Linked DNA regions of Drosophila melanogaster. The protein of the gene in region 1 purifies or fractionates together with the protein of each later gene. This does not show direct contact. Each region holds a gene or a part of one and is shown in the gene's direction. Other genes may lie near its edges. The genes, in order: mRpS30 and mRpL23.

Region 1 (8,819 bases):
ACAGATTTTCCATCATAACTAAAAGAAAGAACTGTTTTATGCGGCTAATAAACGGATCTTACTACATGTGTAATTTTCATGTTGAGTTTTAAAAATCCATTTTTTTACAAATTTTTGAATCAGCAAAATATGTGAAAATGGCAAAAAGTTAAAATTTGCAATTTTGAAAACAGATCGATGGTGAATTTGGTTACGAATTCAACGAGGTATGACATTCCACTTTTTTTATTGCTAATGTAAAAAAACGGATAGTTTTTCCTTAAAAATATGTATAAATATGGCAAAAATACGATATTATGACATGAATACGATATAACTTGGTCAATATTACAGTTTTGCACAGCTAATTAGGTTAATTACCTACACTCTTAATTATATCTACAGGTTTATAGGGAAATTGGAAGATTTCAAATATCAAGAGATCCGAAACTACAAAAGTTCAATAGAAGGAATCCCAAGAAGATATCATGTAAACCAACCTATCTCAAACATCTTGGGATCTGGGCTACAACATCCCAATTTACTTTGCTAATATCGTATTGTAAGTCGTTATGGTAAATACCAGTACCATCTATACTTATTTTTACTTACTCGAGCTAAGCGCCCGCGTTTAAGAAAAACGGTTGGGCCGTCGCGACCTGAGTTGCGAATGTGCTGCTCCTTGATTTCGATGGTATCGTCGGAGAGATAGTAGCACAGCTCCAGCTTGCGTACGTCTCCGAACTCGGTTCTATCGTCCCAGTACGCCTGGAACTTGAGTATTTGCCTATCGTACTTGAGGAACTGGGCAAACGGATGATTCTTTGGGATTAAATTACCAGATCGCGGTTGGTTTTCACGCTTTCGTTGCTCCTCGGTGGGATCGCTATATGAGAATGGACATTATAAATGGGTAATTTCCGAGATTCAAATATCGTTTACCATGGCGATTTGACCGGATCGGGAACGGTTATGCCGCGTTTGTTTAAGAAAGTTCTTGTGAACGGATCGCAATCGGTGATATGATACTGACGATCAAATATCTGAACAGTCTGATCCACGTTCAGATCGATGAGGGACATGAACTCATTATCGCACGGCGGCGCCTTCTGGACCCGCTGCCTATGAACTACACATCCCTGCACAATTCCCGAGTTGTCCACCCGGGGCTCGTAGATCTCTAAAGTACCATCTTCCAGATAGTAGTAGATCTTAACCTTGCGCACCAGATAGGGCGCATGGTAGACCTCCTGAAGGGTTTGCTTGAAGTAGGCATGGAAGCACAGCACCTTCTTGTCATACGCCAGCCATGGAGGCATACGGGGACCCGAACGTGGCGGATATATGGAGGACGCCCCAACTGGGGGACAGCTTATGTCCACCGTAACGCTGCCCGATTCCACAGGAGCCGGTTGCTGGCGATCACTCAGCATGCTCAGACCTTGGACATTGGCCAGCGATTGCGGTTTGGGGTAATGTCCCTTGGATACCTGTTACTCGCATAGATGTATATCTAATCCCAATTGATGTTCAATCCGAAGTACTTACATCGCGAAAGAGAGTCCCCGGAAGAAGGGGCATTCCAGGAATGCGCAGCATTGTATATATTTTATGTGAATTATTGACCCGTTTTCGACCTTTTCTCTTTGGAAATATTTTGTATATTTGGTGTACGCTCTAAATGTAATACAGAGCACTATTGAAGAAAATTTAAGTCCAGATCCTGCGGAGCCTACTCTTTTTTTTATTTCTCCAGGTCCGCATACTTCCTATTTATAGATTTGGCCTCTTTTAAAAAATCCACTACGTGTACACTTATCAAACGTCTCCCACGGTTTGCATTAAACTTTACTTCTTATTGTCAATGCATAAAATAGTAATAAAATACAAGAATACTGTCAATATATCAAACAAAAGTTAATTTGTGGGTGATCAAACGGAAAACGTAAAAAAAAACGAATGCTAGCGAAAATCCATGAATGTCTGATGCTTGAAGATAACTTCTATTTTACCCAATGACAGTCATTTCGGTTTTTTTTCTTTTCTTATAAATACAATGTAAAATAATATCATAATGCAATGGTATATGCGATGGTTTACTATTCGATACGAAAAATGTATGCTTAATTGTGAGTTAGTCTCGCAGCTCTATAGCTTATGAGATTTCAAAAAATACATTTCTGGTTTTAAGTTATATTCTGGGAATTGTTTGTGGTATATGTATGTGTGTATGTATGCATGTATGTATATATATAATGGATAGCTGCTGGATATTCCTTTTATTCGGAGGGGGTGAGATCGTTTTCAGGTTCGTTTTCGTTGAGAATTTGAGAAAGCAGATCGTAGAGTGGTTCTAATATCTTTTTCGCTCCAGCATTGGTTAGATTTTTATAGTCGAACATATCGTGATGACTGATACTGCCGTCGGTCTGGACCAAACCCTTGTCAATGGCCACCGTCTGGACGCGATACAAGCCCTTGGTCAATCCATTGACCACCTCGTTGATTTTGGCATTCTTTTCGCGCAACTTATTGGGCTGCTGGCCACGCGGCAGTAGCGACTGCAAGGGAGAGATGGGAATGTCGATGATTTACTGCGGCTGGCTAATACCACAACTATTGTACTTACGGGCAAAACGATATAGGCGTTGGGCAGCTTTTGCCGGATTTTCGTTACGTTCGCGAGCACACCCTCGGCCACTTCCTCCGCGCTGTTCCGCACATTATTGGTGCCCACATGGAGGACGACGATTTTGGGATTCACATTGTCCAGCGCACCGTTTTCGATGCGCCACAGTACGTGCTCGGTGCAGTCGTCGCGAATGCTGAAGTTAAGGCAGTGCAGCGGCGCAAAGTACTTATTCCAGGCCTCCGTGTCCTGGACGGTCTCGAAGATGCAGTCGCCGAGGAATATCACATCCGGATCCTTTTCGCGGCAATCGGAGATGAACCGGCGATGTATGCTGTGCCAACGCTTGTCGCCATCCAGATCGGGCAATGGGGTGGGCAGCACACAGGGATTCATTTCGTCGGCGTGCTCAGACTCAGTTGCAGACCAATATTGAGTTTTAGTTAAAGATTCCGATTCCTATTCCTATTTCGATTTCGATTCAGTTGCAGTTTCAGCATGCGGATGAATGAGGCATCGTCTGCGGCTTAGTCTTACCGGATACTTGGGCGTTCTGCTCGGCTTGCAGTGACAGCGTTGCAGTCGTGGACAAACAATTGAACTGATAGTCGCTAGCATAAACAACTCCGTACCGTTGTTTACTTTAATAAATCGTTTTTATGGCGAAGATTTTTTTTTTGTTTTTTTTTTTTTGTGTTTTAGGTTACCTCAACATTAACATCCGTAAATGTCGTAGAATTATGTGGCCACCCTCGTGTACATGGAAATTGCCAAGGATTTAAGGTTGAAAATTTTTATAAGTTTATTTTAATTTGGTGTAGAAAATCTACGATTTTCTTGGTAAGCGTTTATGTTTTCGTTTTTAGAGAGATGGTAGATGTCTTGGTATTTTTCCAGGGCTGGAAAGTGTTGTCTAGCAATGTTGCACTTGGCACAGCTGAAAAAGATGTGGGATACGTTATCGAAAACGTTACACGGTCACATATGTTACTGTTTGTAACGTGCATTTTATTCAAAATTGTCAAAAGCGTTATCGCAGAGAAGTCTGTTAATTATTTTGATCTCTGTTGATTTAAGTTTACAATTGTGATTTTTAAGGCATGTGCCTTTAAGCCATATGCCATTATTTCAAGGGGAAAATATACCAAATGAAACAAGACTATTTTTTAGCTTTTTCTAGACAGCTTAAAAAATATTACGATGATTTATAACTGATTTCAGAAATAAAAAGATTTGAAACATAAGCAAGTTAAATTTTGTACCCCTACACGTTAAATAGTAAAGGACTATGATTCATTATGAATTATTATTGAACTGCATAAATAGAAATTATACCATTACTTTCACTGGCATCGCAAAACTTTCCGTCGCTACCTTGGCGCAACCTATTCTGAATCCAGCGTGCGGTCACACTGCAGCAATGACATAACCTAGTTATTGTCAAAAAACTGAAGTCAATTCTATTCCTTCGAAAACATAAATCGTAACTTGCGTTAGGTTCGACGGCATGTTGAAGCTTAACCGTGTTCGCCATCTGCGAACGACGTACAAGCGCTGTTTGTCCGGCCAGTCGCAGCTGCAGCTGAATAGTACGGACGCAGAGCCGGCATATCCGGAGATTCAGGATCTGTCCTTCAAGGCGCGCAAGCAGAAGGATGCGGCCAACTGGCACGAGGAAATCCGGCAGGTGCCGACGGTGGAGGAGAAGATGATCAAGATCAATATGCCCCGCTATTACGGCTTCAAGGTGGTCGACTTCAACGACTCGAAAATCCCCTACAATGCACTGCCGCTCACGCAACATTATACGCGCACAGTGCTCGAGGATTTGCCATCTGAAACGGATAAGAAGGCACAGGCTAAGGACTCCGAGCAGGAGCAGGAGCAGCCGAGCGTGGATGGTCTTTTCAAGGCGGCTCGCGGGGATGTTATTGATGCCCTCGAGTTTGCCCACGACTACTACAAGTGGGTACAACGAGGTCCGCTTTCAACGAACCAAGTTCTCCGGCGAGTTTGTGGACAGTAGTTGGTCCAACTCACTTAAGAACTCGGATTGGTTGGAGTGGTCCCAGTTACAAGTTCGACCGTCTGATATTAATGTATTCATTCTCCTCCATTACCAAGCGTAGGCATCTGGAAAAGCAACACAACTCTGCCGAATCGAACCCCGTTGAACGTGAGCGCATCCTAACGCAGATCATTGTAGAACAGCTGAACAGAGCTCTGCTGCAGTCGCTCAGCGAGGAGTACAAGCACCTGGATGAGCTCGATGTCGACTACAATCCACGCCACGAAGCGTTCTGGGCCGTTGGCGGCGTAGATCCTCCCAAGAACGTGCAGAAATCGAAGAAGGGCCGGGAATGGCAAAAGGATATGGCAAACGAGAGCGTTGATCGGATGGTTCAGTATACGGGAGCGCCGTATCTTGCCCTACGCCATCGCAAGCAATTGACGCCGTGGAAAACGGAAGCGGAAAGCGAAAACCTCGAGCTGAGCAAACAGCTGCCCCGTTTCAAGCACGACCCGCGAACCCTCGGCTACAGCACCAAGCATCAGCACGCCACCAATGTGCCAGGCTATTGGCCCAAAGGAAATGAGAATAACTTCGGCCTGCTCTCATTTCAATCGCGTGCACACCTGCAGATCCGTCCGAAATCGTTCGGCGAGCAGGATCAGCTGGAGGCATTGCATTCGCTGGCGATTAAATCGTCATACGCCTGGCTTTTGGCCCAGGCGAACTACAATGGCTTCAACACCTACAACGAACTGACCTATCCCATGAACACTCAAACTGTGATCACGAACGGCAGGGAATGGAGCTTTTATGAGTATCAGCTTAATACGCTGCTGCTGCACGGCACAAACGTGGCGGAAAATCCCCGTGTCAACTTCTGTCGCGGTACAAAGCCACTTCCACTGTACGCCGAGATTTCGGCAAGCGGCAAGTGCGTTGATTTCAACGATAACGCACTGCGGCACCTGCTCAATTTCTATGCCAATGCGCCATCGATTCAGCGGAGCATTGGGGAGCAGCAGCCGTATGTTGCCTCCGACGTTTCCGCCTATGAGAACGCCGAACAGCGTGACTTTATCAATAAGACCTTCAAATATTTGGCATCAAACCGACCGCGACACTTGGAGCTGCCCGAAATCTACCTGTGGGAGAAGCTATACAAGATCGATAACAACAATCGTGCCATGGAGGCTAAGAGACGCTTCTTCGAGCTGGACATCAATCCTTGGCAGCGAACGCTGGACACACATGACAAGGAGTATGTTCCACGTGCGGTCCGACCAGACGTCCCTAAGAATAAGAACAGGTTCAAGAAGACGTACTACCCTTAAATGAATAAATATAAAACACTTCCTAAGGTTACACTTGTTAAAAATGCTGAATTTTTAATGTGAAATACTGGATTGCAGATTCGGAGCAACGAAACGGTGTACAAAGTTTCTTTAAACTTTGATTAACTCAATTTTCCGCAAACTTTTGTCAGTATGTTAATGATTTTTAATATAAATATTTTGTTAAATTTCAATTTAAATTCTATGCCATACAAAGTATATATATTTATTAACTTTGTTATGCTTGTGGTTAAACACTTCTGTAAATTTATAAGCTAGTCTTTTTTATCTTAAATTCTTTCAAATAGATATGATTATACAAATACCTGGAATTTTGCCAATTATTAGTGCTGATGATGCTAAAACTTGCCAATGCAATGCTTCTTATCATTATTTAATTGTTTATGCAGCACATATTTATTCTAGATTCCATTGTTTATTTCATTTATCAGCACTGCAAACATACCGAAGTTATCTCAAAAAGTGGGTAAAATGCGGTTACACTGCACCAGAACCATATTTTTCGAACGTAAAAAAGGTTTATAATGCTATAGTGTAGTTTAAATCTTTTTACCAAATCATATATTGTTTGAACATAATAGTGCACTAAGGTTTATATGATATTCCATATAAGTACACTTCAAACTCTTACTTAGTCTGGTAATATGTATGCATTAATTAATTACTTGATTATTTTATTATCCCATTTATTATAGTAGTTTTACATTTACGATAATAGCTTTATAGTCCACTACATCAAAGTTAGGATTGCTGAAAAAGTTACCACTTGTTGGTTATTTCGGTAACGTCCCAGCTAACCGTATGGTATGTTATAACGGCCGTGCGACGGTCACACTGGATCTGAATAGTTAGGCTCGAGTAAATAACCAGTTTGAGACTTTACGGTGGTTCGGAAACTCGTATCTGGCGCTTCGGTTGTCCAAAAAGGTAGAGCAGTAACCTGTTGCATATATATTTCTTTTTTTTTTGGTAATAGTGGAAAGTGTAGTGCAGACAAGTCGAACCCAACTGATATTGAGTCGAAATTCCGTTGGGCAAGTGCTGAAAAATCTTGAATATTGATCGTGGAGTATGTGGATACGGTGAGCATTTGTGGGCAAACAAGTGTATTTCTCGGTTATTTGCTTCTTTTTTTGTCGAGTCCATCGAGCTTATAAAGTTGTAAGGCGTGTAAATATGTGTATAATAATTATGCCATAACATACCAGTAGTACAAAAGTATGCTACTGATGATGTGGAACAAGCACGGATTATCATAAATATATGCCATGGACTCTCTGGAATGCCAGTGTAAAATAGTGAAACCAGTGGCCAACCACATATTTGTCTACATCTATATCTATGTCTATGTGTATATATATATATATATATCCATATCTATGTCTATTCCTCCCCCTCCGATCGCGAGCAATCCGATAAAACACTGTATTTATGCTTTGCATTCTGCGATCTCATGAATACGTGAAATCAACATCGAAATCTCCAGCCAACCGACGTGCTTGCATGTGTGTATAGTTTAGTTGAAACAAAAAGAGAATTAACGACAAAACAACCGAATGGCAGTTAATTCCTATTGTTTTCGAGCGGCCTGTCCCAGAAATACAGTTCGATCACAAGCGTCATATCTCGGTGTCCCAGAATTCCAGTTCTTGGCACACACTTTTTATAGATATGAACTGACTTTTATGATCTTGACATGTTTAAGTCTTCGTTTATGCTCAAACCCTTTAATATTCGGACACTTTGTAAGTCTCTAATGTTCTATTAAATAATGCCATTGCAATCCAATGTGTTTATTCACGATATCTCAAGTTGAGTTTGCCCTGGAGCAGTGCCATGACGGTTATAATATGTTGATGTTTGGCGCTGCTTAAATGGCTCGCTCGAATCGAAAACCGTTAAGGCGATTGATGAGTTTGACCTCCTAAAGCTAAAAAAGAAGAAGAAATGCGGTTCTATCTTTAGCTACTCATGTTGTGCATACATACGAAAAACGAGCAGCTCGTGTTATAATAGTTAGTTACACCATTCATAACGCGACAACAAGTGCTGCATGGATTTTCATGATCTTGGTCTTGTCTTGAAGGTCGGAAGTCTATTATAGAACTCTCTATATGCGGTGTGGTGAATAGTTCGGTGGGGGGGGGGGGAGGTTGTATTGTTATTATTTCATCATTTACCCACAAATTGAAAAGTAATCCAGTGTTTATTGGCAGTCCTTTTGGATCATAATCATTTCGGATTTCGGATCTTTGAACCATGGATGAAAAGGAACACGAATTGTCGACGAGGGTGGTGAAAAACGAGGAGAACGAGGATGACGAGAAGCTCAATGAGTTATCCTTTTGTTTTGTTCGGGTAAGTGTAGAATAGCAATCTTATTTATTTATGTTTTTGCGCACTTAGCGATTCGAAAAATGTCAAGTGGTATTATTCATGTATATTGTAAAAGTATTATTATTTTCCATTGCAATTGTTATCACCTAAAACGCCATAAATGATTGTATCACCCAAAAGCTTTGTTATGGAATATTTGATTTTGAACACTGAGTCATAACTTTAAGGGATCGCTATCATGGCTAATGACGTTCAGGAATCCGCCAAATATCTCCACAATATAGATTTAAATTCGTATCTATATATATATATATTTATATATATATATATATATTTAGATACAATCGATATAATCATATAGCATCCTGTTTCCAGGGTTCAGATCCACGAGCTGCCACTTGTCGTAGCAAACTCCAAAACAGGCGATGCAAATTAAACAAAGAAATAAATAAGGAACTCCGCCTTCGAGCTGGTGCCGAGAATCTATATAAGGTGCGTTACCTTACCT
Region 2 (8,580 bases), on another chromosome or scaffold:
TTGTGACAGCTCGCTGTCTGCACTTTTGTTGTTGTGACTGTGGGCAATCCAATTAGCCAGTAAAGATGCCGCCCCAACAATCAGATAGTGGCAAATAAGCCAAGATATTCACGATAAATATCTCGAAACGCTTGTACACCACCGAAAAATTACTGAAATATCTTTGGGATTGTTTCGATTCGGATCCGAAAGAGATTTGCTTAGAACTTGGGATAGAAACGCGTGGAAAGCCACCGAAGACCGCGACGGAAAAGCGGAAAACGCGAGGGAAAACGCGATGCGACCGGGAACACAACCAAAGCAGAACTGAATGGCCAGCGGAGGAATCCAATGGCCAACAAATTCTGAGGCGATCCCTGAGTGAGAGCTTTTCTCTCACTCGACATGGGCGGAAAACTGAGGAAAAGTCGGAAAATGCTATTTTAGCCCATGCCGGAAAACCACTCAAAGAGCCAAAGCATAATGAAGAAATTATGTGTGAACATTTCGACGTTGCAATTTGTTTACAATGATTTTTGTGTGGAAGGCGCGCCGGCGTTCAGCGGTTAAAAGGAAAATCCCAATTGGCGAGGAATTTTTGAAAGAAATATTTCCGGGATATATATTTTAGAAAAATTCGACATATGTGTTTTATAGAAAATTTTTAATTTCAACTATAACTTCTTCATGGATTCAGTTCTGCCCACCTAAAGATATTTTTTGTTCGACAAGCATTCATTAACAATTAATTTCTTTTGGAATGTATATTTGAAAACATGATAATCCGCCCTCGCAAATCAAAGTTAATGCGGTAAAACGTGTAATTGCTTAACTTATAACGGTAAGTTTTGATGGCGACTTACACCCACACTTGTACGTACCTTGAAAAATGCAGCCGGAACGCAGGACCTTGCGACCACTCCACCAAGCAAACAACAGCTGTTGCAGGACACCCGCCTTTGCTTTCATCAATATGTCGCCTTTCCTTGCTTTTAAATTTACATTTGGATATTTCCTCGTCGTTTTAAAACCGATAAACAGGAATTTTCATATTTATTTGCCGGTGACACACACATACGCGCACGCACTGCCGAAAACACAAACACACGCGCAAGTAAACAGTTGCATTTTGCCGGCTGGATTTGTTGTTGCCGCCGCGGATTGAAAATGGTATATGTACAAATTCGCAATAGACTTACCTGTAATATGGCTAATACCGCTCTATACCTTAATCAAAGCTTAGTTAACTACTTAATCACTCTTACATTAATTAATCACAACTATCACACCGGTTTTATTTACGCGCCTTTAGGACGACACGTATTTCGTTGATTTTGGCGCGATTTCGTTTAAAAAGAGACGGTGGGATGGCATAGGCGCTGCCCATACACACGCGAAATGCACTTTTTATGATTTATAGCTTGCTTATTTTGTTTTGATTATTTATTGTTAAACGAAAGCTAAGATTTGGCATTTGTTTGGCGCCGTTGCCAGATTGATTGTGGTTAGTCATATGGTGAGTCTGGTGCCAGACTGCGAAAGCAGCCCACTTTTCAGTGTTGGCTAACAGCGGTATTCAGGCCCAGCTTGGCAACGCCAGACAGAAACACATTTTGTTTGTAACTAAAGAAGTTTTTTAAATTTTCTTTTGAATAACCTTGGTGTACAAAGTTAATTTTTAAACGACACGCTTCTAAAATGGCCCGCACTGAACTGGAGAAAAAGGTCAAGCGCCAGGGCAAAAAACGCAAGCACGAGGTGACTAAGAACCCTGAGCATGCGGCCAGCGACGACGAGGTGGCCAACAAAAGTCTAATTCTAGCTCCACAGGTAGATCAACAGGAGGTTCCAACAGGTGTGTTTCAGCTCAAATCTATATCGGCTTTGTGTAACATGTCCAACATTTACAGATAAACCCGCCAAGAGGCGGCATAAAGAATCAGAAGTATCGGCCACTAAGAAACAAAGCAGGAAAAACCAAGCGGAGGAGCAGGTGGCCACCAGTGGAAGCGATGAAAGTCTTCCTCAGAAGCCTCAGAAGAGAAAACAAGTCCAGGATGCCAACGAAACCAAAAAGCTGAAACGCAGCAAAACGCAGGAAAATAACTCGGATGAAGACGACGATGTGGACTCCCAGCCCACAGCAGCGCAACTAAAAGAAGCAGCTCGTCCGGAGAACGCTTATGCAGTGGTTACAGTGCGCCAAAAGAAGAAACAGAAGCACCAGCAGCGCCTCGAGGCCCAAAAGAGTCAGAGCTCCAACAAAGATGCCAAAGTCAACAAGGAATATCTTCTAAAATGGAAGGAATCCCGCCAGGATTGGAAGTTCAACAAACTGCGACAGATTTCCATACAACAAACCGCCTTTGATGTGGAGAAACTGGATGACGAGCTGTGGCCAACTGCTCTGGAGTATTTGGCCAGTTCCCAGGGAGCAGCGCGCTCAAAGATCAGTCAGTTGGCCGAGGAGGTGATCCAGAAACTGGACAAGGAGGGCGAAAAGCTGGAGGACGAGGCGGAAAGGCGAAAGCTAATCGAGTCCACGCAGTACCGGCGGGCACGCGATCTCCTCCAAAGCTTCGACTAGTTTATTATGTTAGTTGTTAATTTTTGCCTTAGGAATAAATTACACATGCCTTCCTATTTTACAAAAACTTGTCCTTTATTTGTTTTATAGCATCCTCATTATGAATATTTTACAAATTTACAACTTATAACTACAGGTCCACATAGGCTAAAAGTTTGTCTATGTGATCAACGCGCTGCTGCAGAAGCTGTCGATCCTCGTCCTTCAGCTTAAGTTTGTCCAGCTGTTCCTCTTGCAAAAGAAAATGCTGCAGGAAGAGCCTTACGCTTTGCTTAAACTGCTGCAGTTTGGTGTTTTTGGCAACTCTTTCGAACGTCTGATAAATCTCGCGTTCATCGTTAGCCAAAAGCAGCCTGACCATCACTTCCTTCATAAAGTAAAAGCTGAGCTTGTCCAGCTGCATAAAGTCGACTACTTTGAGCACTGACAGCTGCAGACCAGCAGCTAGGATTACTTGCTGCAGAAAACTAGCCAGGTTGCGAATCTGCGGCTTGGAAAGCTTTTCGATATCATTGATTCTGTCCCAACTGGCAAACTGGAAAGCCAGTTGATACTTTCTGTTGAATTGACAGAACTTAAGTGCCAAATGAGCGTAATAGGGGTTAGCACGCTTCTCATTCAGAGCGCAATGGATGATCACGTAGGCCACCGCTCGCTGGTCCTTCAGAGACAAATGCAGAATCTTCTCAAAGGCGTCCACATAATCGGCGGCGCTCATGATGATGCAGAAGATATTCCTCCTTTCGGCTGTGTTCATCTGCTGCTTTCTGGCCAGCTCCAGTAGCTGATCCGCAAAACCTCCGTTGGCAGACTTCGATGAGTTCTTATCCTGCTTTTGCTTGGCGGATCCCATCTCATCCAGATTTCCCGTCCAGGCAGAGCCCACAATCCACCATTTGCCCACTTTATCAGCACGCAGGAGGTCCTCCAGGGTTATGTTCAGAGTCACCACGTAGCGATCATTCTTCAGCATGGCCTTCAAACGCTTTCGCAGATTCTCCGCCAACTCGGGATCATACTGCGGCAGCTTTTGCATATTGTTGTTTTTGACTGCATTTAGAATATCGACCATGAAACGCAGGCGTGGATTCTCTTTCAGTTCCAGTGGGGCACTAGCAATTTGCGATTGAACTTTTTGCATCATGGTCTTAAAGGCCAGTGGATCGTCCTTGCGCAGCCGGAAGCCAATGGACTGGAAGATCAGCAAAAGGCACTCCACGCTCTTCTCGCAAAGCTGATCTGACAATTTGCCTATGAGCTCCATCAGCAAATTCAGCTCGTAGATCTTGAAGAGGTACATGTAGCAGAGCACCAGTACTAGGTTATTCAGCTGCTTATCCTCCACCTCCAGGGTAGCGATGTTCTTGACATAACCATCGAATAACTCCACAAAAGTCTGCAGGAAATGCGCTCCAATCTCGCTGCCAACCTGGGCATGTAGGTAGGCCAGCAGCACCATGTGTTCCTGTACCATTCGCTCGTTGGTTCGCGTGTAGCCGAGAAGGGCTTCTTGAATTAACTTGGTTAGTGTTTCGTTCATGTTGTAGCGGGAGTTTTTCATGTACAGCTCCTCGATGCCGGCGGCAATCTTGTGCAGATTCGCTTCTGACAAACGATTGAGCAGACCCTTGCATTGCTTTAGAAGGCGAGCTAGTATCTCTGCCTGTTTTTCACTTGATCCCGCGCTGGCTGCCATCAAAGCTCGCTGATGTGGCGGTATGTACTTTTGACCGGCGGCTGAGGCCTCGAGCTCCACGGGATCAGGCAGGATGTTTCCCTCGGCGTCGCGTTTGCGTCCGTAGATGTCCTCTTTAACTGTAATTAATTCGTTAATTAAATGAAAAACTCTAAACGATGAATGTACTCACTCTTAGGTGCATTCTCTTCCTGCTCCGAATCCTCCTCGCTTTGTTCTTCCTCTCCAGTTAGGTCTTCATCATCATCTTCACCCTCAGAGCCACTGTCATCTTCTGAGAAGTTATCCATGGGCTCATCCCTGTCCTCCTTATCCTCTTCCTCATCGCTCCACATTCCCGCCTCCTCCTTTTCTTGCTGCTCCTTCAGCTTTTTCTTACGTTCCTGCTTCTCCTCCCACTTCCGCTTCTCCTCCTCGTCATCCAGGACAAAGTCAAGCAGGTAGTCCAGGCCATCATTGAACATCTTCCGCACCAAGCGGTTTTTGTCCTTGGATTTGTTGAGCTTCAGCTTCTTTTCCAGCTTGTTGATCTCGCGATCATCCTCCTCGTTCTCTATGCGAAGTTGCTTGATTCGCTGCTTCTTGGACTTGCTCTCCAGTTCCTTTTGCTGGCGCAGTTCCTTCCGCCTGACCGCCTCTTCATCCTGTCTTTGGATGGCGCCTCCTGTCGTTTTCTTGACCTTTTTTCCCAGAGGTTCATAGACTTCCATCTTTTCCCTTGCGGGCAGCAGAGCATCCACCTCCGCATCGCTGAAATCCGAATCTATGGACTCGTCATCGTCGCTGTCTATTTCACCGGACAAAAGTTGCTCCTTGGGTATTTCATCTGGATTTATTATTTTGGGCTTCTTGCTCCGTTTCTTCTTCTTGTTTTTGCCCAGCTGCGACTGCGCTGCCAACGCCTCTGCCGCCGCCGCCACGCGCTGTGTTCCGTTAGTTTTGCCGGCGAAATAAAGTCGTTTATTCTGTTTTTTGAACTCCGACTTCTGTTTTCTCTGCTCCTTGCGAGTCAAAGGTTTAGCTTTCGCCTCCTTTTTCTTTATTTTTGCCATTTTAAACGGCCTTTACCAGAGATTTCAGCCGGACCGAATTTAAAAATTGTTGTGGTTGACAATCAGCTGTTTAAAACAAGTGTTGGACAACCCACGTGCTTTTACACGGGTGTAGGTAACAGTTCTTTGAGAGGAATCTAGATTTAGTGATATTATTTTTTAAAAGTGGTAAAAGTGTGGAATATTTTATAGTTACAGCGTAATAACTTAAATTAATATATACGTTAAGTTTTAGTTAACAATCTTATGCGACCCCCTTGCTACGCCTGTGTCCGCCCGAAACCTTTGGCCTTTTTTAGTGCATTTCATAAACGCACAACAATTAATTTAATTTTTGTATTCTTGAATTAGAATCTTAGATCCTGGCTAGATCATGTCCACGAGGTGGTATCCCATCTATCAGCGCGGCAATCCGCAGCTTCGCGTTTTCCTTCCCAACTTCTGGATGAAGCTAATCCGACCCACGGAGGAACAGCCACCCAATGTGGTCACTTTTTCGGTGTCCATGGAAATGACCAAGTACGATGTGCGTAACTATCTGGAGAAGATCTACAAGCTGCCGGTGGTGGATGTGCGTACTCGGATTGCCATGGGCGAGACCAAGAAGGATCAGACCTACGGCTACATCACCAAAAAAGACGACGTGAAGCTGGCTTATGTAACATTGGTATGGCCCACTACAAGCCCCTGATTCAATGGATATTTCCAATGATATTTGTGTATTCCAGCCCAGGGAGGAGTCCTTTGTCTTCCCCGACTTCTTTTCCGAAAAGGCTGAGAAGCAGGCCAAGGAGGAAAAGTCGCTGGATGAATCGAAAGCCGGTTTCCGCAGATTTCTGGACAGGAACAAGAAGCGACCCGGCACGCCGGGCTGGTTTTCCATTTAGTTTTTAGTGTGTAATCGTAGTACTTTTCGTTTCAACGGGTAAATAAACATTTATTTCGAAAGTCCGAATTAACCTAAAGCTCAGCTTTATTTGCGAGGAGGTCAACCTCCACTTTTTTTTTGGGATTTCTCAATTATTACTTGGCCTGTTTGACGGCGGCGGCAACCCAGGCCCGGATTTTGTCCTCGTCCTGGAGTCCCACCATGCGCTGCACCTCCTTGCCGTTCTGCAGCACCACTAGCACGGGCACGGCGGCCACATCGTAGTCCAGAGCCAGTTCGCTGTGCTCATCTATGTCCACCTTGGCCAGCTTGATGGAACCGGCCTGTTCGCCCACAATACTCTCGATGCGCGGGGTTAGCAGCTTGCAGGGATTGCACCAGCTGGTGGATTACAATATAAACATTAATTTGCCATGTCCTCAAATTGAAAATATAAAAATTACGTTGCGAAGAAGTCCACAATCACGGGCTGCTGGCTGTTCTTTACTTTCTTGTCAAAGTCCTCGGCGCTCTGGACTTTGAAGATCTCCTGTCGCGGCGCAGAAACTGACAGCATGCGAATTTGCTGGCCGCTAGCCAGGCGACGCGTCGTCTGTCCCAGAATGTTAATAATCTGTCGCTGCATGGCTTATTTTCTACAATTTCTCAGTGCAAAAAGTTCAGCGATTGATTGCAAAATAATGACAAGAGAATCAGAACAACAACAATGAGTGTGGTGGGGTTGCCAGATGGATTGGTATTGCCTAATGATGTGTGCACACACTGTTTCATTAACTGTTACTTCCCGGTCATGATAATTTTGTTTTATATTATTTAAGTTAAAAACTTATATTTATTAACCATAACTATGTAATCTTTTTTAATTTTCAATTTATGATTAAAAAATGAATAACGATATTTCGTTCTCTCAATCTATCGAACTAGTTGGCATCTCCGTTGAGAAAATAATCAGCAATTTCATGGTGTGCACACATTGGCTCTCCTTTTTTTGAGAAGTAGTCTTGTTTTGTTTTGTCGTAATAATATCCCAACTTTTCGGTTAAAATTCAAGTGTTACAATCGCATTACGGTCCGTAATCATCGAAAGGTTAATTGGCGCACATAAAAGGCGGGTATAATCGTCTTAAAACCCCCGTACCCTCGGGTCAATTACGGAAATTGTCCAGCGAATTTCGCAAATGACCAGTGGAACTTTAGTAATTCAGTCAAACTGAAGACCCAGGATCCGGGAAAAAGTTATCAGTATGGACGACCTGTCGCAGGGCGACATTTGCCGCGTGTGCAGATGCGAGGCACAGCCGGATAGGCCTCTTTTCTACCCGTGCATCTGCACTGGATCGATCAAGTACATTCATCAGGACTGCCTGATGTTATGGATGCGCTACTCGCACAAGGAATACTGCGAGCTGTGCAGCTACAGCTTCAGCTTTCAGCCCATCTATGCTCCGGATATGCCGCGAGTCCTGCCGATAAAGGATGTCCTTGTGGGACTGATGTCCGCCGTTTTGGAGGGCGCTCGCTGCTGGCTTCATTACACCCTGGTCGGTTTGGCCTGGTTCGGAGTGGTGCCGCTGTCTGCCTACAGGACCTATCGGTACCTCTTCCGGGCGAGCTCCTTCGATATGATTCTCACGCTGCCCTTTGACATCTTCTCCGTTGAAAACCTGGCATCGGATGCCTTTCGGGGCTGTTTTGTGGTCACATGCACACTTTTGTCCTTCATAGGATTGGTCTGGCTGCGCGAGCAGATCCTGCATGGCGGCGGACCCGATTGGCTGGAGCGGGACGATGCCCCTCTACAGGCAGCGGCTGCTAATCCTGCGCCTGATCCCGCCGCCGAGGCAGCTCCACAGCCTCAGGACGACAACAACAATGCCGACGACAATGAAGCGCCGGCTCCAGCGGACAACGATGGGCAGGATGCCCAGGCCCAGGATGCCGCACCAGCGGCTGCAGCTCCCGTCGTGGACGCCGATGCCGATGAGCAGAATTGGAATCCCATGGAGTGGGATCGGGCTGCCGAGGAGCTTACCTGGGAACGCCTGCTCGGACTCGATGGCTCGCTAGTTTTTCTGGAGCACGTCTTCTGGATCATCTCACTGAACACCATGTTCATCTTCACCTTCGCCTTTTGTCCCTACTGCGTGGGCAACTTCATTCTGAGCTCCATGGATCTTTTGCAGCCCGAGAAACCACTGCTACACTTTCACGGCCTGATTACCACGCTATTTGGTTACTGCTGCATTGGATTGACCCTGGTGGTGCTGCACTTCTTCTCCAGAGTTTTCCGCCTGCGGAGAGTCTGCTGGTTCATTGGATTGTGCTATATTGTGGTCAAGGTGTCGCTGCTGTCGGTGTTGGAGATCGGAGTACTCCC

What was found.
Region 2: the proteins of mRpS30 (region 1) and mRpL23 purify together in Drosophila melanogaster (affinity purification with mass spectrometry, with the first as the bait; one large-scale study listed by BioGRID). This does not show direct contact.

What each region holds. Positions count from the first base shown.
Region 1 is NC_004354.4:15,782,057-15,790,875, forward strand, and holds mRpS30 (mitochondrial ribosomal protein S30), read left to right. Parts: upstream 1-3,990; 5' UTR 3,991-4,115; coding exon 4,116-4,573; intron 4,574-4,737; coding exon 4,738-5,953; 3' UTR 5,954-6,232; downstream 6,233-8,819. Other genes in the region: Efhc1.1 (EF-hand domain containing 1.1), read right to left, coding at 592-865, 922-1,469, 1,528-1,578; Paf-AHalpha (Platelet-activating factor acetylhydrolase alpha), read right to left, coding at 2,259-2,540, 2,609-3,004; Rhp (rhophilin), read left to right, coding at 8,234-8,332, 8,687-8,803.
Region 2 is NT_037436.4:2,370,530-2,379,109, reverse strand, and holds mRpL23 (mitochondrial ribosomal protein L23), read left to right. Parts: upstream 1-5,405; 5' UTR 5,406-5,425; intron 5,426-5,431; exon of another isoform or gene 5,432-5,513; intron 5,514-5,608; exon of another isoform or gene 5,609-5,665; 5' UTR 5,666-5,687; coding exon 5,688-5,981; intron 5,982-6,042; coding exon 6,043-6,201; 3' UTR 6,202-6,266; downstream 6,267-8,580. Other genes in the region: CG15877 (uncharacterized protein), read left to right, coding at 1,678-1,834, 1,890-2,566; CG9004 (uncharacterized protein), read right to left, coding at 2,697-4,381, 4,435-5,314; CG8993 (uncharacterized protein), read right to left, coding at 6,338-6,584, 6,647-6,828; CG1317 (uncharacterized protein), read left to right, coding at 7,448-8,580.